Linked DNA regions of Rattus norvegicus. The protein of the gene in region 5 interacts with the protein of the main gene of each other region in a pairwise test. Links are inferred from orthologs where the notes say so. Each region holds a gene or a part of one and is shown on either strand. Other genes may lie near its edges. The genes, in order: Zcchc10, Prr13, Prpf38a, Eif1ad, Sdcbp2, Tnp1 and Npm2.

Region 1 (3,500 bases), on a different chromosome or scaffold from region 5:
GCCACGCCTACAAAATGAGACCCAGTCTTTACAAAAAGAAAAGCAACAGCAAAAACCCAATAGTCATTCCTAAAATAAACATCTTTATATATATAACATCTTTATTTAATATCCTACACAATGGTGAATACTTAGAAAGTTCTGGACTTTAACAAGTCTGACCAGCTAACTTGCTTGCTTGAGCACGTCTTCAGTTCCCCTGGGAGTCACAAATGCTTTCTGTCCATTGGTCCAGAGAAGAGAGAGCTCTATTTCTTTTTCCTCTTCTTTGGTGGCTCGTCGTCAGAGCTGCTCTCGGAACTGCTGCTGCTGCTGCTGGAGGAGCTGGAGTCTGAGTCTGAGGACGAGGAGGACGAGGAGGAGGAGGAGGACGAGGAGGAGGAATAGGCTGAGGAGGAGGAGGAGCTGGAGAGGCTTCCATCTGCGTCGCTGTCCTCTGAAGAGGACGAGGCAGATGTCTCGCTCTCTGATGAAGACTCACTGGCTGAACTGTCACTGCTAGAGGTACTCGTGACACTCTTAGGCCTATAATGTTACACAAAGAGCACACATGGGAAATGGACATTTAACTCAGTGCTTAGAAACGCTCGTGCTGAGCTCCTGCAGCTAGCCCTAGCCAGATGTCTGGGGATCGCCTAACTGCTGAAACACTTTGCAAGCTCTCTAGGAGTCCATAAGGTGTGCCCCCCATACACTGAGCATGCTGGCACAAGCCTTCCATCCCAGGAGGTAAGGCAAGAAGGTCAGAAGTTCAAGGTCACCCACAGCAACACAGTAAGGTCAAGGCAAGTCTGTCACACACACACACACCCCCGTCACCCCCCCCAACCAACCAACCAACACACACACACACACAGACACACAGACACAGACACACAGACACACAGACACACAGACACACACACACACACAAGAAACACAAGCAGGGCATGGTGGCTGTAACCCTAGCACTCAAGAAGCTTAAGTATGAGGGTCACCATGAGTTTGAGGCCTGCCTGGGCTACAAAGTGAGATCTAGTGTCCAGAAAATAAAACAAGGGCCAAAGGGAAGGCTCAGCACTCAGAGGCCTTACTATTCTGTCAGAGGCCTGTCATGGAATTTGGACCTCAGCACCCATACCTGGCAGCTCAAAAATACCAGAAATTTCAGCTATAAGGAATCCAATGTCCACTTCTGGGATCTAGAGGCACCCCTACACACACACACACACACACACACACACACACACACACACACACACTCTCTCTCTCTCTCTAAAAAAACAAAACAAAAGCAAAACCGAACAATAAAAGAACCCAAACATGCCAGGCAGATCTCTGAGTTCTCCTCGATTGCTCTACACTTTAGAGTCACTGTCATGGAACCTGGAGCTCCCTGACTCAGCTGGGCAGGGTGCTCAGTGATTCACTGGGACCCACCCATCACTACCTCCCCAGCGCCGCGGCTGCACCAACCCCTGCTGCTGCACCTATCTATTGGCTTATGTGCATGGCAAACACTTTACCAACTGGGTCATTTTTCCAGTTCCCTTTAGCAAAATCTTGTAAGATTTATTAGGTCAAGACCAGGCAGCAGTATTATTGTCAGGTGTAAGGATTTTAGAATGTTATAGGAAAAGGAAAAATGGAGCCAGTAAATTCCACGTAACAGGAAAAGATTAGAAAATACAATCACAACCAAGAATTGCAAACAGGGACTGGAGAGATAGCTCAGCAGTTAAGAGCATTGACTGCTCGTCCAGAGGTCGATTCCCAGCAACCACATGGTGGCTCACACAAGTATCTGTAATGGGATCCGATGCCCTCTTTCTGGTGTGTCTGAAGACAGTGGCAATGTTCTCGCATATATAAAATAAATAAATCTTATTTTTTTTTAAAGATTTATTTCATTTATGTGATTACACTGTTATTGTCTTCAGAGACACCAGAAGAGGGCATCAGATCTCATTACAGATGGTTGTGGGCCACCATGTGGTTGTTGGAGATTGAACTCAGGACCTCTGGAAGAGCAGTCAGTGCTCTTAACCACTGAGCCATCTCTCCAGCCCAAAATAAATAAATCTTAAAAAAAAAAAAAAAAGAATTGCAGACAAAGACTTCAGGCCAACCTTCCTCCCCCAGGTAGTGTCACCTAAAGCTACCTACCTCCTCTTCTTCTTGGTCTTTCTTTCCGTGTTGGTCTCTCCCATGCTAAGGGACAAAGGGAAACAAAAGCTCCTATTAATAAGAGTGACCACAAACTTCTCTGCTACCCTCAGGCTAGTTCTGTTCTTCATTGCATATGCTCAAGGCACAGATTTCTTGCTCTAATCAAGTAAAAAGTTTCCTCCTTCCCGGGACAGGCTATCCACAGTGGACTTCGTGCTTCCTTCAACAACACATTTTATCTCCTGTACCATCAAGGCCTGTTAGTAGTTTAGACGACAGAACACAGAGTTGTTTCTTCTTTGGTTTAGAACTTTACTTGTTGACCAAGCAAGGGCACCAACAGCACAGCAGCCATAATCCAGCTTCCTAGAATCACATGTGGCCATTTGAAAATTTCACAAAAGCAAATTTAATTTCTGTACAGTTTCCAAAATTTTAGTTGTTGTTTAAAACAAAAACAAAAACATGGAATCTCAATAATGTGAGGCTGCTCCCTGACACCACAAAGAGCATCCGAGCATGAGCTGCATCTCTGCCATCGGCATGTACACGGATCCAGCTTTCAGATTACAGAACTGCTCCTGTCACCACAACACATGGTGCGGGTTCAAGTCCAGGGCAGGCACATGCTGTGCAAGCACTCTGCACCTCATACAATTTCACTGTTTTCTTTTTCTTCTTTGAGACAAGGTCTCATGTAGCCCAGGCTAGGCCTGAACTCACCTATTCCCTGATGGATGGCGCTGGATGGAACTCAGAACCCTGTGCATGCTGGGCAAGCACTCTGCAAACGGAGCCATATCTCAGCCCACGTTCTACCTTGTACCTTAAAGGTTTTCAAAACGAGTTTCTGCTTCTTGATTAGGAAAATAGGTTGATCCTGTCACAGACACATTCACCACACAGAACCACCACAGGCCTGCAGACATGTTGTTTCACTCTAGCCAATCTCATGAGAGAATTTTAGTTCAAAGTCTGCAGTGCTGTGTATACTCCTACTTCTGCCGTACACAGAAGGCGATTCTATTAGCCGAGAGCAGGCAGTGCCTTGGGTTTTTTATTTTTACTTTTAATATTTATTCTTTTTTTTTTTTTTTTTTTGGTTTTCTTTTTTCTTTCGGAGCTGGGGACCGAACCCAGGTCCTTGTGCTTGCTAGGCAAGTGCTCTACCACTGAGCTAAATCCCCAACCCCATTTATTATATATAAGTACACTGTAGCTGTCTTCAGACACACCAGAAGAGGGCATCAGATCTCATTACAGATGGTTGTGAGCCACCATGTGGTTGCTGGGAATTGAACTCAGGACCTCTGGAAGAGCAGCTGGTGCTCTTACCTGCTGAGCCACCTCTC
Region 2 (4,023 bases), on a different chromosome or scaffold from region 5:
CCTCAGTCATTGCACAGAACTGAACACATTGCCTTCTGACCAAGTTTATACTTTCCACACCTAGCCAGGGCCAGGAATGAAGAACAAACACAGCATGGATGCGGGAAGCAGCTGCAACTTTGTAAGTCCCTACTCATTAGCTTAAAGAATGACAAACGAGACTCTCTGCACCTCAGAGAGGGTAGGAACAGCCAGCCACCGTGTGTGTGTGTGTGTGTGTGTGTGTGTGTGTGTGTGTGTGTGTGTGTGTGTGATGCTGTACTTCCTCCAAGTCCCACTAGGGGAAAAAGTGGGGAAGATGGCAGAGACAGACAGATGGCTGGAGAAACCCCACACAGACATACCTCCGTCAGCTACTGTAAAAAAAACACCTGCTACCAGAATCCTAGCCCTTAAGAGTTTCGTGTTGGGGCTGGAGAGACGGCTCAGCGGTTAAGAGCACTGACTACTCTCTTCCAGAGGTCCTGAGTTCAAATCCCAGCAGCCACATGGTGGCTCACAACCATCAGTAATGCAGATCCGATGCCCTCTTCTGGTGTGTCTGAAGATAGCCACAGTGTACTCACATACATGAAATAAATAAATAAATCTTAGAAAAAAAAAGTTTAGGCTCTCAGGGTTCTCTCCCTCATTCAGTGTCTCCTTTCCTTCCCCACTCCCCACATCTCTACCTAAGACCCAGAATCAGGAACTAGAGTCCAGACCCACAAGCAAACATTTGGCATAAAAATCTAACTAAAGCTTCAAGATTAGACTGATGCTTTTCCCAAGTCCTCAGGGAAACTCCTTCCCTCACTAACAATAATTAGCGTCCCTGTGGAAGGAAGGGATACAGGTCTTGTGAAGGAAAATGCCCTTTCACCCCAGGCTTTGCAGAAGGCTGCTGAGTCACAGAAGACCCACCCAGGGAATTAACTCAGCACCTGAGAACGCCGAAGGAGATAAAGGAAATCCAGGAACTAGGGTCAGACCGCCACCCCGCAAACTATTATGCGTCATTGCACTTTGTCAAAGAACTCTTTTGACATTTAGACAACCTTAATGGGTGTGTCCAACTTACCAAAAGATACACCTAGGGTGGGTCAAGGCGGGGAGTTACAGGGATAGAGGGAGAGAAGGGAGAGGGCTTTTGGCTCTGATATCCGCCCCCACTTCACTTTTCCTTTGCAGATGGGAGTGGTCGAATGCCTCAATATTACTAAACTCCTTAAAGGAGGATCTCTTTACGTAAAGGAAAACCACCTGCCAAAAGGACAGGATTGCCGTCCTCCTCCCACGCCCCACAAACCGAGAATGCCCATCCCCAACTCCTGATCACCCCGGTCCCTCTGAAGGGAGCTCCTTCCCCAGCCAGGCTCCAGAGGACACTGACCTTCCCGTGCTTATGATGCTTGTGTGATTTCTTGTGAGCTTTCTTCATTTTCTTCCTAGTCTTCTTGTCTATCACTATTCCTGGGCCTACCATGCCAGGAGCCGGAGGATTCACGGGGCACATGCCAGGAGCAGCTGGTGGGTACGGGGGAGGGTAGGGACCTGAGGGTTGGTATCCTGGACACCCTGGTTGCGGTACAGGATAAGGAGGTCGACACGGAGGGAAAGCTGGGTTTCCCTGAGGAATTCCGGGAGGACAGGGGCCAGGAGGAAAGGCAGGATTTTGGGATGGTGGGCAGGCAGGATTGGAACCTCCTGGACACACAACTTGGGGTGGATATGGATTTGGCCCTAGAGGAAGAATTGGAGAATAAAGATTAGAACGGTGCAAACCTCTATCAACGAGTAACACAAGTCACCACCATTCTTTTTTTTTTTTTTTTTTTTGTTCTTTTTTTCGGAGCTGGGGACCGAACCCAGGGCCTTGCGCTTCCTAGGCAAGCGCTCTACCACTGAGCTAAATCCCCAACCCAGTCACCACCATTCTTAAGCCCTACGGAAAGGCAGAACTCGGTAGCTAGCAGTGGTCCCGTGACTTTGTTTTTGCTGGGGGTTGCAGGATACAGAAAAATCCCGTTTCGTTGCAAAATGGGCTGGGGCGGGGTCAGAGGAGAGCCCCCCAGTTACTTACCAGCACTAGGATTCCACATGTCCACAAGTTAGTTCAATCCTACGAAGTAAAACAGACAAAAATCTGAAGCTCCCAGGAAGGGAAGCGGATTTTCTAGAGCCCGAGCCCCACCCTACAGCCTCCGCCTTACGAAGGCTCTCACTGATAAAACTACCGCAACCTCCACTTTAAAATGGGCAGCACTCTGGAGGCAGAGGCAAGTGGATCTCTGAGTTAGAGACCAGCCTGGTCTAAAGAGAGTTACAGGACAGCCAGAGCTACCCTGTGTTGAAAACCAAAACAAAACAGAAAAAAAGTTTCCTTCCTCTCTCCAGCGCCCTCCTAGCCTACATTAGCGCAGGGTCTAAACCACAGAAACTCTCTTCCTGGGGCCCCTCCCACTTTCACTATCTCACCTGGATGTAGGCGTCTCATTTCCCTCTCCCTAGAAAGGGACCGGAGGCCTTAAGCATCCGTAGTGTGAGAGATAGGACCTAAACCCTAAACTCCCTGCTCGCCCCAGTGGAGAAAAAAAAAAAAAAAAAAAAAAAAGGAACCCAAAACGCTAAGATAAGGACAAAACACACACACCCCAAAGAAAGGGCAAAGGGAGTTCCTAGTTCTCAGGTATAAATGGATCCCTGGCCCAGCTAAGAGGAAAGAAGGGAATTTGGGAGGCCAGATGCCCTGTCACCTTCCCAAGATCGCTGGTCCTCTTCCCGTCCTCCTTCCCAGTCTGGGATCACACACTTCCTGGTCACCCCTATTCATTCTATGCTTCCGCACCGCCCCGGTGACCTAGATAATTATGTGGTCACTCGGCATGATGATTGGAGAACTGACTTGTCAATCGCTGTGGTCCAAACAAGGAGGAAACGTTTGCGCTAGACGCCGGGCGGAGCCTTTTGGAAAAAAAAGCCTTGCGTTGTGAAATACATAACTGGTGAAATAACAGACACAGCGGAAGTGCTCCTTAGGGCGGGAGCGGGGCAGGGCTAGCTCCAAGCAGAGACCCCGAGCCAACGAGATAAACTCTCAGTTTCTTTTGTTCGTTTAAATTTTAAGATTTTTTTTTTAAATGAGTATGAGTGATTTGCCCCAATGTATGTGCACCAAGTGCCTGCTGAATGACAGCGGAGGTCTTCAAAGCCCCTGGAGTCAGAGTTGCTGATGAGCAGCCATGTGGATGCTGGGGACTGAACTCAAACACTTCGCATGAGAAGCAAACGCTTTTTAACTGTTGAGACATCTCTCCAGTCCCTATCATTGCGTTGCGGTTACAGGTCAGTGAGTACATTAGGTGTTTTGTTTGTTTGTTTTAAGGTAGCCTTGTCTGTAACCTAGCACTTGGGAAGTGGAGGAGGAGAATCAGAATTCAAGGGCAATGTTAGCTTCTTAGGGAATTTGAGGCCAGCCAACCCGATATAAGACCTCAGAGAGCCCTGTGCTGGTGGCATATGTCTTTAACCCCTGCACTCAGGAGCTGAGGCAGGTGAATCTCTGGGTTTGAGGACAACCTGGTCGACATAGTGAGTTCCAGGACAGCCAGAGCCACACAGAGGAACCCTCTGTTTCCAAAAACAAAAACAACAAAAAAACAAGACCTCAGAGAACAAAAGGAGGAAGTGCTGCTAAGTCCTAGCCCCAGGTCTCAATGCTGCCAGCTTCTATAACCACAGCCCGTGGTTCTCTTTTTTTTTTTTTAAAGATTTATTTATTTATTATATATGAGTACACTGTAGCTGTTTTCAGACACACCAGAAGAGGGCATCAGTTCTCATTACAGATGGTTGTGAGCCACCATGTGGTTGCTGGGATCTGAACTCAGGACCTCTGGAAGAGCAGTCAGTGCTCTTAACCACTGAGCCATCTCTCCAGCCCCGTGGTTCTCTTTTGTAGAAAGATAGGTAAGAGAGGGGGTCTCAATGTGTCCAACAGATGCCGTGGTTATAGTCTCATGCCATTGTTCCGGGTGAATAACT
Region 3 (3,930 bases), on a different chromosome or scaffold from region 5:
CATATATCCAGTCCTTACTCAAATCTCCTTTTGAAATCCAAGCTTCATCACATGAGAAGAACAGTACAGCAACGAATATGCATTCTAGCTGAGACCTAGCACTCAGGAGGCAGAAATAGAGGACTGCCATAAATATAAGGCCAGCCAGAACTACGCTGAGGCAGTATCTCAAAAATCAAAACAAAACAAAGAAAACCAAAGTGTACTCTGCAGCCAGTTTCTCCTCTCCAATCCCCAATGGGGATCAGACTTACACCCTTCCATTTGTTCTATCCCCAGGCTTTATCTCAGCCACAGATCTAACACGCACTAGTTTTCTGACCAAAAAATTCCTTAAAATCTCTGTGCCTCAGTTTCTGCCCATGTAAAATAGGCATAGTATTTTTAAAGCACTGGGATGAAAAGTATATGAATCACTATATCTAAGGCCCTTAAAACACATTTTGTTCGGCACAGGATCAGCTATTACACCTGCCTCCGCATTCCTAGAGAATGGATGATATGGAACAGCTGATTATGTTTACCATTCATTGACAAGCTTTAAAAAAAATTAGAGAAATTCTATGGGGTTACAGTCAATAGGTACCAAAGTCTAAATAAGATACCGATCTAACCTGTCAACTAACATCCTATGTTGTATGGCTCCCACATACAGTGTCTACCAACACATCACTTTGATGAGACTCTGTGTGTATGTATACATATGTAAAAATATTATGTGTGCATATTTAATTTGTGAAATACGTTTTGGGGAACAGGGAGTTAGGTCTACATAACTACAGTAGACAAAATACAAGTTCAAAGGCTGAAGGCTGTAGAAATGAGACACAGACAATCCTACTAACAAAGCCAACTTTGAACCACTAAAATTTTTGTGCTGGTTACCATTGTACTTACTTGAAATCTTCATTTTTTATGAACTCAACAATGATATCTTTTTCAGGTTGAATCTGAAGCATCTTCAAGGTTAAACATAGAAATGGAGTTGGCTTTATGTTTCCACCATACACACCACCCACAAACTTCAACTCCATGGCTTTGTCGACTACAAGTTCAGCTGAAAAAAAACAAAAACAAAGTGACATTCATCTTAGACATAATATTAAAGGCCTTAGGTTTCTTGGTTGGGAGATTAAATAGCTAAAGGTTTAGAGTTCCTAAATAATTGATAAGAACTTAATATTTAAGAGATCAAAAGCTTATCAATAATAGTAATAAAAATGAGTCTTAAAAAGAAAACAAAAAAACCCCCTGAGCATGGTAACGCTTGCTTCTAATCTCAGCACTCAGGAGGCAGAGGCAAGCAGATCTCTGAATTTGAGAAAGCCTAGTCTGCAGAGTGAGTTCCAGGACAGCCAGGGCTACATATGCCTGGAACCACACCACTACTGAGACAGATCCCTTACCCCTGCCTCAGTCAACTATTTAGTCCATCAAGGAAGAGTGGACTCACGAGTCCTCAATCTTTATACAACAAGTCATGAGGAAAGTCCAGATGCTGGTGGGGGGTAATGTACAACTTGGGAGCCAGAAGCAGGCACATCTCTGAGTTCTAGGCCATCCTGGTCTACAGAGTGAGTTCGAGGGCAGTCAGGACTACGCAGGGGAACCCTGTCTAAAACAAAAACAAAACACCCAAATAATCATTGTCCTGACTTACAGCTAAGGATAATGAGGACAAAAAAAGGTTAAGTGATTTACCTGCTCAAGAACCACAGCAAAAATCACACTAGGTGAATATGAACAAAGCTGGGAAATTCTCCAGATAGCTACTCTGGAGAATTGATAGGAGTCAGCGAGGTGGCTCATGCCTTTCATACTCTGTGTGTTCAAGGCCAGCCTCCTCTACATAGAGAGTTCCAGGCCATCTAAGGCTACACAGTGAGACACTGTCTCAAGGGGGGAAAACAAACAAACAAACAAACAAACAAACAAAAAAACCCCAAAAACCTAAAAGACTAGAGGAAGTAGGTCAAGAATGAAAATAATGACTCATTTAAGAAGAGCAAGAATTTGATTATAGGAATGGTGACGTTCCTTTAACATCTTCAGAAAGCTGTATTCAAGGAAATGTATCCGGTCGCTGAGATAAACAGTCTAGGACTCAACAGACTACAAAAAATAGTGGCTCAAAGAACCTAAGCAAATTCTTTAGCATCAAAAAAGGTCGGTTCAGCATTCCTTTAATCTCAGCCCTCAGGAGGCAGAGCAGGAGGATCTCTCGGAGTTCGATACCAGCGAATCCCAGGACAGCCAGGGATATTACAGAGAAACCCTGTCTCGGAAAACTAAAAAGAAAAAAACAAAGGAAAGATCGTGTCAGATTTGTCTGTGTCCTGTCTAGTATAAGTCTAGACACAGAACAGTGTTTATGAATGGTTGACATACGCCCAGAGGGTCTATCCTTCCTTACTCAATCAGAAGAAAACACCCGTAAGCCGAGAAGCGAGGTGCGCGCTGTCTCTCACCTGTAAGTCCAAAACACTCTTCTTTCCAGTACTTTGATTCATAAATTCGTGTCCGGATGATCTTCTCCACCAGATACTGAGGATTGGTGCCATGGATGCTGTGGGCATCCTTCACTGTACGGTTCGCCATTTTAGAACGCTTTCAACTATTTCCGTCGGCTTGCTTAATACGTCACATCCAGATTAAAAAAGAAGAAGAAAAAGACTAGCAGAGGCTAGGGAAACCTTAAGGAATTCCTTCGAACCGCGGAAAGCGACTAGCTTTGTACCGGAAGCTGTGGCTCAGAACTCTTTCCGGACACTACGCACAACCTTCCTCAGAGAGGGCTGAAGCAAATTGGCGGAAGTACGTCATGAGCCTTTGGAGGGCGTGGCAAGGTGTTAGAAACACCAATAAGAATCAGACTATGGGCGGGGTTTCGGTTAGTGGCGCGAAAAGTTTTTTCCTCTGACTTCCATTCCTAGTCAGCTGAGAGCACTGGGTGCGCGTTGCAGCTGTCGTCTCCTGGCGGAGCCCAAACTGCACGAGCGAGCGTTCCACAGCCCCCTCAGTGCCTGGACTGCAAGTAGTGGGAAGCGGAGGGTTACCGACAGCCCTAACAAGCTTCGGTGAGGTGAGTGCGGGTCGTCCTCAGACTCCACACACGTGCACCTAGGGCCTTAAGTGCCCTCACCTCTCGAAAGTGGGTAAACGTTCTCCTCGCCTTCTGGGAGCTCCTGAAACATTTCCTGCGCTGAAGGAGATCTCAGAGAAGCGGGTGGAGCCTGCCGTCGCGGGGAGCCTAAGGCTTTGACTTTCCACGTGCACGGCTTCTGAAAAGCACTCGCATCCTTTCCTTTAGAACGGCGGAGCTGATGTTGCGTTCAGCTTCACTAACTAGTGATTCCGCCCCGAGAGAAACTTTCTCTAGGTCAATTTTTGTGACTCTGGCTTCTCGTTCTCCTCAGGTCTCCTTTCCCAATAACTTGTCTTTTGGTGAGCCTTCAGTCCCTAGTCACAGGAGAGAACATCTATCTAATGGCTCGTTTTCTACTTTCTTGGGTCTAGCCTTCTCGTAACAATTGGAGGAATTGGGATTTCTGAGCGACTGCCTCTGCCTCTCAGGCGTTAGAATTAATGGCGCGCCACCACCACACCCGGCTTTTTCAGGATTAGATTGGGTAAGGTGCGGGAAGGGGTTCGAAACACTGTTTCTCTGTGTAGCCCTGTCTGTCCTGGAACACTCTGTAGACCAGGTTGGCCTAACACTCAAAGAGATCCGCCTGCCTCTGCCTGACCAGAATTATAAAATATTTTAGAAGCTGTATTAGACGGCAATATTTGAATGTTGGGAGGTTTCTGAATTCTGTGAAAGGGAGTGCAGTATTTTGCATTGAATTATGAATTAGATATCATCTAGTTATGTGCATAAGATATAAATAAGATGACCTTTGGGGCTGGAGAGATGGCTCAGTGGTAAAG
Region 4 (2,801 bases), on a different chromosome or scaffold from region 5:
CACCTGGTTAGGATTATTTTTGGGGGGTGGAGGTGAGGACATAAAACTATGTAGAGCAGGCTAGCCTCAAATTCCTTAGGAGATAATTGTGCCTCTGCCTCCACACTTCTCTTAAAGGCATGTGCCATAATGCCTGCTAACAGAATGACTCTATAGCTCTGGTTAACCGAGAACTCAAGAGATCTGCCTGCCTTTGCCTCCCAAGTACTGGGGTTGAGATTAAAGGTGTGCACTAAACATGTCTGTCTGATCTGAAAAATTTAAAAGGTAGTATCAATGAGAAAAGAATGAGCCCTTTAATGAATGAGTTAGGGGCAAATGGCTTTCTCTAGTTAGGAAGTTATTTCTCCTAATGACAGAGCTCCTAATGTGGATTTAGCTCGGTAAGAACACCAGTCTAACACACCATGTGCCCAAGGCCTGAGGTTCAATACTCAGTACTAAACAAAAACAAAAAAGAACTCTTCATAAAAAAAAAATTCAGAGAAGTTAAAGATAGGTTTCTCTTTAACCCATATGGTTTATTTCTCCATGTATATACACCTATATTTTATACATGTGTATACCCAAGTATACATTTACTACCACAAAAGGCAAACATGACGAACATAAATGAGAGTCAGAGAGGGTGTGATTGCAGGATTTCCTGCTCAGAAATGAGATTCTATGAAGCTAATGCATGCCTCCAAGCTCAACCAACTACCCACAACAGCCCCCCTCCAAAAAAACAAAATTCGTCAGAAGACAAAAGGAAGGCTCCAAAGTAGAAGTTCCATTAGTACAAGTTTTCAACGAAAATACATACACACAAGCACATTAGGAGTACGCAACAGGGTTGAATAGTTCCACTGAGGGATGAATGACCAGTAGGGGCAAGACTAAGCTGAGAGGTCAGTTTCAATAGGATTTAGCAGGGGCAGGATTAATGCTAGCAGGGTATAGCCAGAAGCAGAAGCCTCCCAATAAGTGAGGCCACAGTTCACAGAAGCTTGCACAGTTTAGTGAGTACCTGGGCTACTGAAGGATATTTGAACTAAAACAATGGGAGTAAGTAAATGGACAGAGGTAGTCATGAGCAAAGGTCTGAGTCACCACAAGAAGTCTTTTGATGCTGAGGTACAAGGGGTAAAGACATTACAATAGCCTCTAACAAAAGGTTAGTAGCCCCACAGGTTCATGCCTGTGAGGCAGGACAGCCACTGAGTTGGTTAGCCTAGGCTACACAGTGATTTTGAAGCAAACCTGGGTTAGAGACAACCTCAAGATTACAGGAAATTGGGGTTGGGGATTTAGCTCAGTGGTAGAGCGCTTGCCTTGCAAGCACAAGGCCCTGGGTTCGGTCCCCAGCTTCAAAAAAAAAAAGATTACAGGAAATTAATACCCTGAAGAAATTAGAGAAAGTCAAAGAAAATCAGGAGATGGTAAGGAGGTATCCTGACCACAGACACGTTCTGGGAATGACAGGTGACGAAGGTGAAGAGAGATGGGATGCAGGCTTGTTTGCATAGCGGCAGGCAGTAAGCACTATTGCAGTAAGGGATAACAAGGCACCAGGAGTTTGTCCTGAGCTGTGCTTAAGAGGCAAGTGGGTCCGAGGTCCTAGACTGCACGCTTAACTATTGGAATAGCTGCTGAATATAAGCAGGTATAAAGGAAGACCCAGTAAGGCACAGCACAGGGTGAGGTATCAAGTGTCCAGAGAGGTACTGTGAACCAGATAAATGCAGCAGAGTTCAGACAAATCATTTCCTGCCCATTCTACCCACACGTGACCAAGGCTTCCACCATAGAAGAGACTTCATTTCACCATGAGCTTCCCTCTACAGAGAGCCACACGGACACCAGTGTAAGTCACTACCCACCAGGGGTTTAATTCTTTTTATGTCAGTTCAGAAAGGGGCCATGCTTTGTCCCCATCCAAAGGAAAAGATCTGCAGGGCACCCTGGGAATGTCCAAACCCAGAAAAGCCAAGGGGTAGTCCCTGAGCAAGTAGAGAAGTGGGTCCTGGGGCTCAGGCCGCCTCCTCCTCTTCTTCTTCACTCTCCTCCTCACTCTCATGATACTGTCTGTGATTGGTGTTGACAAAGAGGTCAGAATCATCTTCAGAACCTGACCCTTCTCCTGACAGCTGTGGCTCAGCGGGGAGTTCCGGCTGACTCTCTCTGTGGGAGCAGGACAGAACAGTAACATCTTCTGGGGAAACCAGAGCTATAATCTCAAGTCCCAAAAACCAGGACCATCAACTAAACAATCAGAATCTAACAGGTTTCTGAAAATCCAAGAGCCCCAAACCCTTATGCAGTGGCACATGCCTGGCATTTAGGAAGCGAAAGCAGAAGACTAAGTCTGAGGACAGCCTGGGCTACATGAGATCCTGACTCAAGAATAAAGGAGACAGGGGTTGGGGATTTAGCTCAGTGGTAGAGTGCTTGCCTAGCAAGCGCAAGGCCCTGGGTTCGGTCTCCACCTCCGAAAAAAAGAAAAGAAAAAAAAAAGATTTAAAAGAATAAAGGAGACAAAGCAAAAAATTCTGGGAGAGGATTCTTCTAGAAAAACAGAGCAAATAGGGAAACCCAGTCAAAAAGAATAGACTCGGGATTACCTCCCACCCAGCCCCTCATCAATTTGAGTGAGGAAGCGACCCCACTAGCATTACTGACACATAGCTCACATTTCCTAACAGCTGATGTACTAACAGCTTCCCAATGCTGCGACACTTTCACAGTTCTTCATGCTGTAGTGAACCCAACCATAAAATTATTATTACTCCTTTATAACTGTAATTTTGCTGTTATGAATA
Region 5 (4,300 bases):
AATCCCACCAGCTTTTTGGATATCTTTTACCTTCAGGAGACTACCTTGAAGTTTTCCCAAATCTTGACTGCAGCCCCATCAAATACACGTATGAACTGAGCCAGAAATCTGGGATTTACCCTCAGACCCTGCCTTTACCTGTTGGTGAAATCATATCTAGCTCTTACATCAGAATTAATCTCAGACTTCAACATGACTTTAAACATTTCATGACTGACCCCTGGTGGACGTGCCTCTGTCCTTACCCCCACTTACTCACTGCATTCCCTTCATTTCAAATAGCTTGCCGATTCTAAAACTCAGCTTGCTAATCTATGCCTTCACGCCTCGGCACTGCTGTTCCCTCTGCCTTAAATGCCACCCGCAGTTCATGTGGTGAATTGTTCAGTTCTAAGCCTGCCCCTAAATCCTACACCCACACAACCCCCAAGGATCTTTGTAATGACTAGTCATTATTCATTCCACACAGATTTAGGAAGTACCTACTGTGAGCCAGGCCTTTTGCATTTCCTAGATTGCAATTCCACCATTGCTTTCCCTGTCATCCTCACTAGCTGGTGTGAATCGCCCTGTCTCTCCATAAAGTAACAGGAGAAAAAAAAAAAAAAAAAAAAAAAACAAAAAAAAAAAAACGACATAAGGAAGAGAAGCCTGAAAACCTAGTGTGTAGGTAGGTAGTAGCTATTTCCTCGGAATTGAAACAACATTCTCTCCTAGAAGGGAGTGGGAGGCTTGAGACTCAGGAACCTAAGGGAGCATAGAAGACTCTGAGGAGCTCAGAAAGCTGGTTCACAGAGCCCTCCCCAGGGTTATGTAAGCAGTGAACAATTGTGAGGGCAGAGAAGGTTCTTCTGGAGAGCTTTTCGCAGTCATCACCGATGCTAGGTGAACTGCTTGAGTCACACAGCTGACATGGACTATTTTATTTTGGTTCAGCAGTTCTCAAGTGGGTTTCAACCCCTTTTGGGTTGAATGACCCTTTCATAGGGGTCACCTAAGACCATCAGAAAGCATATATTTACATTATGATTCACAACAGTAGCAAATTTAAAGTTATGAAGTAGCAACAAAAAAAATTATGGTTGGGGGGTCATCACTACAACACGAGGAACTGTAGTAAAAGTCACAGCATTAGGAAGGTTGAGAACCACTGTCTTGGTTGGTCTGTCATTGGTTGTCTGAGGTGAATAGATGTTTGTACACATCTCCCCAGATATGTCACCTGACACCTAGATAAACATTCTTCCAATTACCACCTGTAGAAAGTCTCTTAACGAAAAACTAAGTGTAGGAAGGGAAACTTCAGCCCTAATGGAGTACAAATAGAGTGACAACGAAAGAGTTTGCTCAGTTCCTGCAAGTAGTTGACTTCTCTTAAGGGAACCCATCCAGTCCTTGCTCCCAGCAACTTCCCTTCCCAAAATATCTTTCGATTTCCATCCCAGAGCGTTCTACATTTCTCAGTATTGTTAGCAGTCAGGCCCTGGGGAATCAACAGGGCTGGAAAGGGGCCCATTAGCCCCCATCTTTGAACTTAAAGAATGAGAACACTTTGTTCCAAACTGCTGGAGCTCTGGGACTCCCACTTGTTCCTGTGGACAACTCATCTATCCTTCAGAAAACAGAAGCGTGGGTTAATGTGATGGGGTAATAGCTTCTGTAAGGCCAAATTAGCCCAGGGATCTGGTGAATAGGCGAGGAGGAGGCTGTTGCTAAGCCACAAGCAAGTACCTCCTCCTTCCAGGGCTGTACTGTACCAGAGGGAACAGGACTCAGGAGATTCTGTTCTCCCAATGAAGGTCCAGGGGAGACAGAGCAGAAGCCAGGGCTTTAGAGCAGCTCAACCTACTGTCTGCCTCTGACTGTGAGAATGGGCTAGGTTCTATGACATTTATTTTGTAACGACAGTAAAATAACATTTCCTTTCAGCACAGAGTTATCCAGGCATGAGACGGCCATTTAAATGAGTTATACATGGAGACCATTTAGCACAGTGCCTAGCATAAATAGGCAACTCCATAGCTGTCTGCTCACCCACTTCTGACCACCTCCTAAGTCCAGGTACTGTTTTGGATGGCCATGGTAAGAAGTGAACAAAATTAATCACTCTTTGATGTAGGGACTTTGTAGTGAAGAGCTGGATTAAAAAGCCCCAAGGTTTTGTGGGCTGTGTCAGTGGTGGAAAGAGATGAAGTGGGATGGAGAGTTGAGGGGGCAGTAGGATTAGGGGAGCCTTGCTGTGGAGGAGAGAGACATTTCAGTAAAAGCTTAAAGAACTGGGTGGGCAAGAACATTCCAGGGAGATAGGTCCACTGCACAGACTCTGGGGTGAGCATGCCCTCAGTGTTCAGAGGACTTTGAAGGAGGAAACCAGAGAAGACAGGAGAGGCTCAGATCCTGGAGGGCTCATAGGTCTTGGTGAGAATTTTGGCCCTTCTTGAGTGAGAGAAACTAGGGAAGTCTGAGCATCAGAGAGCCATAGCCTTCAGGGCCTTCTGGCCAATGAATGTAGGATAGATTAAAGGCAAGGGTAGGAGATAGAACAGTACAGAAAATCATACATCCTTCAAACCCTGCCTGGGATCAGAAAAGGAAAAGCTTTGTTCTCATGTCATTCCAAGAGTGAAGCAAATTAAAAGGCTACCTAGAAGTCCTAGAAGACAGGACAAAGGAGGAAAAGAGATTGGTTGTGAGCAGGTCTTGTTCAGTTCCTTTATCCCAGCCAATACAGACTGTCCTTACCTGCTGGCTCCCCACTCTGTGCCCTTCTCCAGCTACTGCAGCCTCCTGGGGTGTGCTGGTGGCCTGTGTCCCAGTTGAGTTCCTGCTCTGGGAAGGGTGGTGCCTGTCCCTTGTTCAGCTTACTCACCGTGGACTGGGATGGGCCCAGGTTAGCCTGTGTGGCTCAATAAACAGAGCAATCATCCACGTAAGGTCTTCGCATGAGTCTAGATTCAGAGGCGGGGCTAAAGTGTATAGCTGATCTGAGCTGTTGTAGAGATGTGTGCAAACTAGAGCTACTTGGCCCACTGAGGAAGTCAGCACAGGCTGTGGAGGCCTTACCCTGCCAGTAGGCAAAGTCGGTTAACTGGAGAGCATGGAGATAGATGTCCTGGGTCTTAAAAGGTGGCCATATTTTGTAACCTAGTATATTTCTTAGAAATGTATTTCAATGCAATATCTGGATCCATCACAGTGTTTCTTTTTAGTAAAACCAATCTAGAAATCCCAGATGCCTGACATTGGTTAAAGGAGTCACCAATCTACTGAAGATGACATGTTTATTAAATCACTTCAGGAAGGTGCCAAGGGGAAATATAACCACAAGACAATGAATAATCACTATTGAGGTCATACCTCTGGTTTTGTTTTCAGTAAAGTGCGCACTGCAGGAAGCCTAGGGAGCCCTGCCCCCTTGCCTGCTCTGTCATTCCTTCCGAGATACTAGGAACCAAGCCTTACACTCCTAAGCAAATGCTACCTGACCCCTCCAGACCCTGGTGAGCTTTTCAGTTTGTACTTCTGTGTAGATTCTAATAATGGAATCTGTAGGAGTGTGTGTGCGTGTGGTGCATTTGCCTGTGTGAGCATGTAGATGTCAGAGATTGACAGTCTTCCCATTTGCCTGTGTGAGCATGTAGATGTCAGAGATTGACAGTCTTCCTCTATTCCTCTCCACCTTAGTTTTAAACAGAGTCTCTCATTGAACCTAGTGTTCACCATTCCAGCTGGACTGACTGTTCAGCAAACTCCAGGGATCTGTCTCTGCACCTGTAGTGCAAATGTGCTGCTGTTCACAACTTTCGTGTGTGTGTGTGTGTGTGTGTGTGTGTGTGTGTGTGTGTGTGCGCGTGTGTAAAGGTCATCATAATACATAGCAAGCATATTACCCTTTGAACCATCTCTTGAATCATAAGCCTTGCTTATGATTTTTTTCTAAGAAAGCAGTAAATGTTTGTTTGTTTTTTGTTTTTTGTTTTTATTTCTTAAATCTACTTCTTCCAGTAACCTCCTGGAAGAACTAAAGAACTGTGTTGAGATAGGACGGGATTTCTTCCTTTATTTCCCTTGTCATTTTTTTTTCTTAAAGACAGGCTCTCTGTACTTAGCCTTGGCTGTCTTAGACCAGTCTCACTTTGAAGACATACAGATCTGCCTGCCTTTGCCTCTCACAGTTAACGTGTGGTGCCACCAAGTCCAGCTCTATTGTGTCTTTTTTATCTTGAAGCTTTTGAATGTACATTTAACCCACTAATCATATGAAAGTCAAGTTTAAAAAAGAAGAGAATTCCCGATGGAT
Region 6 (2,365 bases), on a different chromosome or scaffold from region 5:
CATAATGGATTTCATCCACTAGGCTAAAAGGTCCATGCACACACGGGACTTTTTTTCTCATTTTACTAACCTTTTATTAACCACACCCCACTCACTGCCCCTCCTCTAAAAATTCCTTCCCCTTCCCCTTGTCCTTTGAGAGGGTAGGGGCTCCCTAGGTTTCCCCTCACCCTGCCACATCAAGTCACTGTTGGAAATAGGCACATCCTCTCCCATTGAAGCAAGATAAGGCAGCCCAGCTAGAACATATCCCATAGATAGGCAACAGCTTTTGGAATAGCCCTGTTCTTATTGTTTGGGACCCTCACAAAGACCAAGCTGCACACCTGCTACATCTGGGGGAGGACTGGGGCTAGGTCTAGCTCTTTGGTTGGTGGTTCAGTCTCTGAGAGCCCCTAAGGTCTAGGTTAGTTGACTCTGTTGGTCTTCCTGTAGAGTTCCTATCTCCTTTAGGGCCCACAATCCTTCCCCGCCTCCCAACTCTTCCAGAAGAGTCTCAAAGCTCCACCCACTATTTGGCTGCACACACAGGATTTCTGTCTCTAAGCTATGTCTTTAGGTCAATTCCCTAGTGTCCAAACATGTGATATACATATCCTATGTAAGCAATAAATTTGTGACCAAAACTTAACAGATTTTGCATTCCAGGCTCCCAAAATGACAGGTGGCAATCTTTGGAGATATCTGTCACATCTGCCAGGGTTCTGGCTCTAATGGTTTGTAGCAGTAGAAGCTAGGAATATCAACAAAGATCCCAAAACACATGAAGCAAACTAAAACTTAACCCTGTCCCTGGTATCAAAAATGTAATAAAGATTGGGACCGAAACTTCCTATTTTTGACCAGCTCTCCTAGACTCAAGTGCTTATGGAAAAACATTTGCTTCCTGAGGATACTGTTGAGACTTACACATGCACACATACAAATATCTACACTCAGTGACTTTTAAGTTCTCTACAAACAAATATACTTTAATTAATGACCACTGGTAAAGCACTTCACAGGCCTAGTACAGGAATGGGAGTTAGATGTTTAATACCTGTCTGAAAAGCCGTCTTTAACCTAAAATGGGGACCAGACCAGCACTGAAGGGACTGCTTCCTTATTTCTTCTGTACCACCTAGGTGTATGTATGTATGTAGTGACGTCACAAGAGAGCCCCACCCAGCTGCTAAGCCACGCCCCTTTTCGGTCACAATGGCTAAGGCCTTAAATACATGGACTACTGGCCCTGCCGGCCTTGCAAAGCCCCTCATTTTGGCAGAAATTACAATGTCGACCAGCCGCAAACTAAAGACTCATGGCATGAGGAGAGGCAAGAACCGAGCTCCTCACAAGGGCGTCAAGAGAGGAGGAAGCAAGAGAAAATACCGGAAGAGCAGCCTGAAGAGTAGGAAACGGGGCGATGATGGTAAGTGCAGGGCGAGCGGGAGAGCAGTCAGATTCCAGGACATGCTCTCCCAGCCACCCTCATGGAGGCCAACCTCAGTAGTAACCAGCAATCTCAGCCTGAGATGCCAGCGTTCTAGGGGCTGAATTCTTAGGGCTAAGGATTCTGATGGCTGTGTTCTAATGGGTGTCCTTGTTGTAAATCTGTCCTTCCCCACAGCAAGTCGCAATTACCGATCCCACTTGTAATGCGGCAATGAGCTCTAGCCTGGTGGTCTTCAAACTACACCAGGCAGCAACAAGACATCAGAGGGGGACTGCCAGAGAGATCTGAAGTTAGACCAAAGCCAGAGAAAGATCCTATCAGAGTGGGTAAAATGCCAGTTGTGACGAAATTCGGAATGTATATGTTGGCTGTTTCTCCCCAACATCTCAATAACAATTTTGAAAACAAAATAAAATTGTGAAAACTGAAATGGTCTCTGGTTTTTGTTTGTGGACTTAAGCAGGGTTGGAAGAAAAACCTTTATGACCCTCCGTCTGGTTCATCTTGAATTACACTTTGAAGTATGTTCCAACCGAGCCTACCCAGAATGTGGTCCTCCAGAGAGAGCTGGTATTCTGGGTCTGGGTGGATGCTTAGTGGAATGCCCTGTGTGCTGAAAGTCAACTTCTGATTGTATACAGCAAGCCTAACAGACTTGGTAGGTAGGTATGGACAGAGGGGCTAGCCAGAACCCACCCAGTGGTGAGAAAGTCTGTTGGCTCAGAACATTCATCCATCCCTCTTCCCCTACTTAGGGAACATGCTTTAGGGCAACTGGAACAGCCTCATACTGGGTGATGTTTGGTCTTTACTGTAACATCCTTCAAGGACCGTGGGTGGAGTATCTCTGGAGTCAACAGGAAGGTTAGCACCTAGATCAGCTTAAAGCTGCCATGCTGAGCATGCCCTGATTCTGAATGCAGTATTAAT
Region 7 (4,300 bases), on a different chromosome or scaffold from region 5:
ATGGCTATGTCTGGGTTACTGGGAAGTTATCTTCCAGGGACTGGAGTCAAAGGCAAATGGTTAGTGGGCATCAGGATTGATGTCTGGCATAAAAAGGTGCTTCTTTAGCAATCCCAGCACCATCCTAGAAAAGCAAACTTAAAATATATCACACACCTAAGAATCAAAGCTAAAATTAGAGTCAGGTGTGGGCGTGAAGGTGCCCACCTATAATTCTAACACTTGAGGGGGAAAGATAAAAACCTTTTGAGTTCAAAACAGCCTTGATACATACCCAGACCTTGTTTTGGGAAGGAAGGAAGGAAGGAAGGAAGGAAGGAAGGAAGGAAGGAAGGAAGGAAGGAAGGAAGGGAGACAAGACATAACTTACAGTGAAAATATTTGAAATACATATATTTGACACAAAACAAATATCCAGTATACATAAAGAACATCTATAAATAATCTCAATAAAAATAATCTCAAATAATTCAATCTTAATAACTGATCAGGCATTTTGAAAATGACAGTTTGCCTATTACCAACAACCACTTTAACATTCAGCATCCTTTATCATGAAGGAAATGCAAATTAATAACTACAATAAAATACCACCAACAGGCTGAAGATAGAGCCCAGTAGTAGAACATTTTCTCTGAGGGAAATAGAAACAGAATGGCTAAATTTAAGGACACCAGCAATGCCAACCATCGAAAACGTACAAAGCAGTAACCATTCTTCATAGACTGTAGGTAGAAGTCCATGGCAATCATTATTGCTGATGCTTCCTGCCCGATCGGAAAACATGTCTAAGTCGAGTAGCAAAGACAGCTCTCTCTTGGTAACCCCAGTAAGTCCCCACTAGCTGTAAACGGTGGCTCTCACACAGGGGCTTCTTTCTGGGCCGGTACCAGCAGCTTCACCTGAAAGCTGGTTAGAAATGCAAACTCTCTTGGCTCTACCTACACCTGTTCAATGGGAGACAGCAGAGGTGATGCTCCCAAATCAAGTCTAATGGAGGGCCAGGTGCTTCTAGAGTAGGAGGGGACGCCCCGCCTCCCCTTCCCCTCCTCTTTCCCAAACTTCTTAACAGCCTGGTGTGGGCAGCTGACCCTTAAGTGAAACCCTGAAGCCAGCTTGAGGACCTGCAGTAGAGGTGCAACCCATGACTGGCAGCGCAGTGAGCTTGAGAGGGGGTGAGTGGGACTCGGATCCAAGAGAACGTGGAGGCCATTCTGTCCCCTCCCTCTCCACACTGGGGTTTCTGAGGGCCCCAAAGGCAGCCATGTGGTCTCTCAGCAAGCTGCCAAACTTGGGCTAGACAAAACCACCATTCTTTGCACTTCTTTGTTGAGTGTGTCTGTCTCAGGTCTGGGGAAGCTCTGATCCGTTTGGGGGGGGGGGGTGTTGGGGTAGGGGGTTGGCTTCTAGTTTTTAATGGCTGTTGGCTATAGTCAACATTCCCAGGACTCAGGGAGTTTCCCTTATGGAAGGCTATGAGCTAGCCTTTGCATTACTCAAAAAACAGTGATAACAGCTGAACTCCAAGCAGGGACCCAGGACCTTACCTCATCACAGACATAATTCTTCCCCCCCACCCAGTAAATCGACATGAGTCGCCACAGCACCAGCAGCATGACTGAAACCACGGCAAAGAACATGCTCTGGGGTAAGGGCTGAGGCTGTCCCCAGTAATGGTGGAGTGGGTTTGCTGGTGAACCCTTAACGTAGAGGAACTCAGGAGCCTCCCAGCTCCACACCTCCATCTTCTCTATGCAGGCAGTGAGCTCACTCAGGAAAAACAGACTTGCACCTTTAGAGCCCAAGGCGAGAGGAAGGACAGCTGTAAGCTTTTGCTCAGCACGGTGGGTGTCTCCCAAGGAGGGGGAGAAGAATGGAACAGGAGTGAGTCTCCAGCGTCAACAGCTAACAGCTCCTTCTCATCAACCTTCTCAGATTTGCCTGGGGGAGAAGGCCAAAGAGGAGGTGAATCGTGTGGAAATCCTTCCCCAGGAAGACAGGAAATCACCAATCACTGTCGCCACGCTGAAGGCCTCTGTCCTGCCTATGGTGAGTCCTCTCTCCCTGCAGGCCCCGGGAAGGCGTCACTACCCTAACTTCATCCTCAGATGGGCCTGGACATAAGTGTGGATGCCTTCATGCCTCAGGCTCCTCACCATGCTATAAAGGCGACCAGGAAAACCACCCCAACTCCTGCTTTCCAGAGACGGTGCCATGAGCAAGCCGAACAGCCTCTCCCACAGTGTCCTGTTTAAGCTTGTTTACTACTCGTCACCAAGACACTGTCTGTGGCTTCTACTTGGGCTTTGAGTGTGGGAGCTCTTCCCTCTAGAAATGTATCTCGTGCCATGCAGTTAACCATTGTGTGTGAATAGTGGCAGGTTTGTAATTTGGAGCACTTTAAAATTCATTTTAAATTAATAAATTTAAAATTGAGGGAGAGAGAGAGGGAGACAGTGTTCAGGCCACGTGTGCCACAGTACATGTGGGGGTCAGAGGACAACCCAGGAGTTGGGTGTCTCCTGCTGTGGGTTCCAGGAATTGAACTCAGGTTGCCAGGCCTATGCAGCAAGTGCTTTTACCTGCGGACCACCTAGCCTGCCCTTGTTTGTCTGAGACAGGGTCTCCTATTGGATCACAGAATGGCCTCCACGCTCTCTTCCTGCCTCCCCTTCCCTGGTGCTGAGATGACAGACATAAGCCACAACAGAAACTTTTCCCTTTTTCTGTGATCTCAGGGCATTGCCCCAAAGGCTAGGGCTTTTGGTATAATACAAATTATTATATCTGACTTAAAAATGAACTGTGAGTTGAAAATATCATAATTGGGAGAGGATTTACTATGCTTAGCCCCTGGAGCCATAGCACCATGCTAAGCTTGTAGAGGAGAAACCAGGGCACATAGAGCACCAGGAATAAGGCAGGATTTCTATCACACACCACTGGCCCAGGAGAAGGTCAAAATTCAGAATTCAGGTGTGTGGTTCTACTAAACGGATTTAACTCTTGCATCATTGTAAAGCCAAAAACTCCTGAGTAATCGGAAACTGTAATTGGGCAAACGAGACCTGAGCGTTGACCTCTTTTCCTCTTCCCTGATTTAAGATGGTTCTCCATGAAGTGCTTGGCAGATACGCTTCGCCAAATTAATGAAGCCCCCATCTGGTACAGCTATGCTTTAAGGTTTTTAATTTTATTCCTGAGTAGGGAGTTGAATTTTATCAAATACTTCATTTTTATTTTACATGTGTGTTTGGCCTGCCTATGCTCTGCAAAGCACATTCACACCGAGTTCCTACGGAGGCCAGAAGAGGGCCTTGAGAGTGGAATTGCAGATGTTTCAGAACACCGTGTGGATGCCAGGACTCGAACTCGGCTCCTCTGGAAGAGAAATCCGTGCTCTCAATAGCTGACCCTTCTTTTCAGCCCCTAAAATGGTTTTTTTTTTTTAATTTTGTCTCACCTGATCCTACATTCTTTCTCCATCAATTCATTAACATACCATTATGTTGGGATAATAATGTTTGAGCTTTTTTGGGTTCCTTGATCATGCAAACTCTGCATTCACTTTAACATGTCCTCATCTTCCTTTACTTAAGGATTCCTGGGGTGGGTGGGGTGGAAACACAAATGCTACACCACGTGGTAGTCAGAAAACAGCTTCATGGAGAAATGTATCTCCCTTCGTGAGGTCGAGGGCGGGACTCTGGCCACCAGGCCTGCTCAGCAACCCTTCCTGCACTGGACATGGCACCACCTGAGTTCCTCACTTTGCCTCCACCATTTGCTTGTTTATTTTATTTTGTTCTGGTTGTTGTTCTTTGAGACAGTCTAGGTAACCTAAACCAGCTTCAAACCCACAGTGGTCCTCTTGACTCTGCCTCTTCCCCAAGTGCTAGAATACTCGTGTGCACCACTGACTCCATCCATTCTTAATTGTGAAAAGCAGAGAAGTGATTTATTCAATGTGGTCACCTTAGGATGGGGGGACATTTGTTGTGTGTTTGGATTTTTTGTTTTGTTTTGAGCCAGAGTGTCTCTTATGTCACCCAGAATTGCAATCCTCCTGCCTATGCCTCCTCGACCCTGGAATTTTGCAGCAGTTGTGACCAGCATCTACCAGGGGCCAGGCTGAGTTACCTGTGTCTTCTATGTTGCCCTGATGTCTCTCTCCCACCACAGGTCACAGTGACAGGTATAGAGCTTTCTCCTCCAGTAACTTTTCGTCTCAGGGCTGGCTCAGGACCTGTGTTCCTCAGTGGCCAGGAATGTTATGGTAAGTGCAGCCTCCAGAGATTCT

What was found.
Region 1: the proteins of Sdcbp2 (region 5) and Zcchc10 interact in binary tests that used the Homo sapiens proteins (3 or more experiments, as listed by UniProt). The two-hybrid records come from large-scale screens. The link is inferred for Rattus norvegicus from reciprocal best matches to the Homo sapiens genes SDCBP2 and ZCCHC10.
Region 2: the proteins of Sdcbp2 (region 5) and Prr13 interact in binary tests that used the Homo sapiens proteins (3 or more experiments, as listed by UniProt). The two-hybrid records come from large-scale screens. The link is inferred for Rattus norvegicus from reciprocal best matches to the Homo sapiens genes SDCBP2 and PRR13.
Region 3: the proteins of Sdcbp2 (region 5) and Prpf38a interact in binary tests that used the Homo sapiens proteins (3 or more experiments, as listed by UniProt). The two-hybrid records come from large-scale screens. The link is inferred for Rattus norvegicus from reciprocal best matches to the Homo sapiens genes SDCBP2 and PRPF38A.
Region 4: the proteins of Sdcbp2 (region 5) and Eif1ad interact in a two-hybrid assay, tested with the Homo sapiens proteins (3 studies listed by BioGRID and IntAct). The two-hybrid records come from large-scale screens. The link is inferred for Rattus norvegicus from reciprocal best matches to the Homo sapiens genes SDCBP2 and EIF1AD.
Region 6: the proteins of Sdcbp2 (region 5) and Tnp1 interact in binary tests that used the Homo sapiens proteins (3 or more experiments, as listed by UniProt). The two-hybrid records come from large-scale screens. The link is inferred for Rattus norvegicus from reciprocal best matches to the Homo sapiens genes SDCBP2 and TNP1.
Region 7: the proteins of Sdcbp2 (region 5) and Npm2 interact in binary tests that used the Homo sapiens proteins (3 or more experiments, as listed by UniProt). The two-hybrid records come from large-scale screens. The link is inferred for Rattus norvegicus from reciprocal best matches to the Homo sapiens genes SDCBP2 and NPM2.

What each region holds. Positions count from the first base shown.
Region 1 is NC_086028.1:37,977,959-37,981,458, reverse strand, and holds part of Zcchc10 (zinc finger CCHC domain-containing protein 10), read right to left. Parts: intron 2,191-3,500; coding exon 2,146-2,190; intron 526-2,145; coding exon 249-525; 3' UTR 1-248.
Region 2 is NC_086025.1:135,469,817-135,473,839, reverse strand, and holds the start of Prr13 (proline-rich protein 13), read right to left. Parts: upstream 2,801-4,023; 5' UTR 2,736-2,800; intron 2,102-2,735; 5' UTR 2,082-2,101; coding exon 2,063-2,081; intron 1,723-2,062; coding exon 1,373-1,722; intron 1-1,372. UniProt on the Homo sapiens protein: Negatively regulates TSP1 expression at the level of transcription. This down-regulation was shown to reduce taxane-induced apoptosis.
Region 3 is NC_086023.1:128,550,066-128,553,995, forward strand, and holds the start of Prpf38a (pre-mRNA-splicing factor 38A), read right to left. Parts: upstream 2,801-3,930; 5' UTR 2,599-2,800; coding exon 2,469-2,598; intron 1,058-2,468; coding exon 898-1,057; intron 1-897. UniProt on the Homo sapiens protein: Involved in pre-mRNA splicing as a component of the spliceosome.
Region 4 is NC_086019.1:212,106,715-212,109,515, reverse strand, and holds the end of Eif1ad (probable RNA-binding protein EIF1AD), read right to left. Parts: intron 2,164-2,801; coding exon 2,013-2,163; 3' UTR 501-2,012; downstream 1-500.
Region 5 is NC_086021.1:160,529,427-160,533,726, reverse strand, and holds the start of Sdcbp2 (syntenin-2), read right to left. Parts: upstream 2,801-4,300; 5' UTR 2,743-2,800; exon of another isoform or gene 1-2,742.
Region 6 is NC_086027.1:82,043,169-82,045,533, reverse strand, and holds Tnp1 (spermatid nuclear transition protein 1), read left to right. Parts: upstream 1-1,255; 5' UTR 1,256-1,272; coding exon 1,273-1,411; intron 1,412-1,609; coding exon 1,610-1,638; 3' UTR 1,639-1,865; downstream 1,866-2,365. UniProt on the Homo sapiens protein: Plays a key role in the replacement of histones to protamine in the elongating spermatids of mammals.
Region 7 is NC_086033.1:52,136,228-52,140,527, reverse strand, and holds the start of Npm2 (nucleoplasmin-2), read left to right. Parts: upstream 1-1,500; 5' UTR 1,501-1,590; coding exon 1,591-1,648; exon of another isoform or gene 1,649-1,758; coding exon 1,759-1,844; intron 1,845-1,935; coding exon 1,936-2,049; intron 2,050-3,277; exon of another isoform or gene 3,278-3,981; coding exon of another isoform or gene 3,982-4,182; coding exon 4,183-4,276; intron 4,277-4,300. UniProt on the Homo sapiens protein: Core histones chaperone involved in chromatin reprogramming, specially during fertilization and early embryonic development. Probably involved in sperm DNA decondensation during fertilization.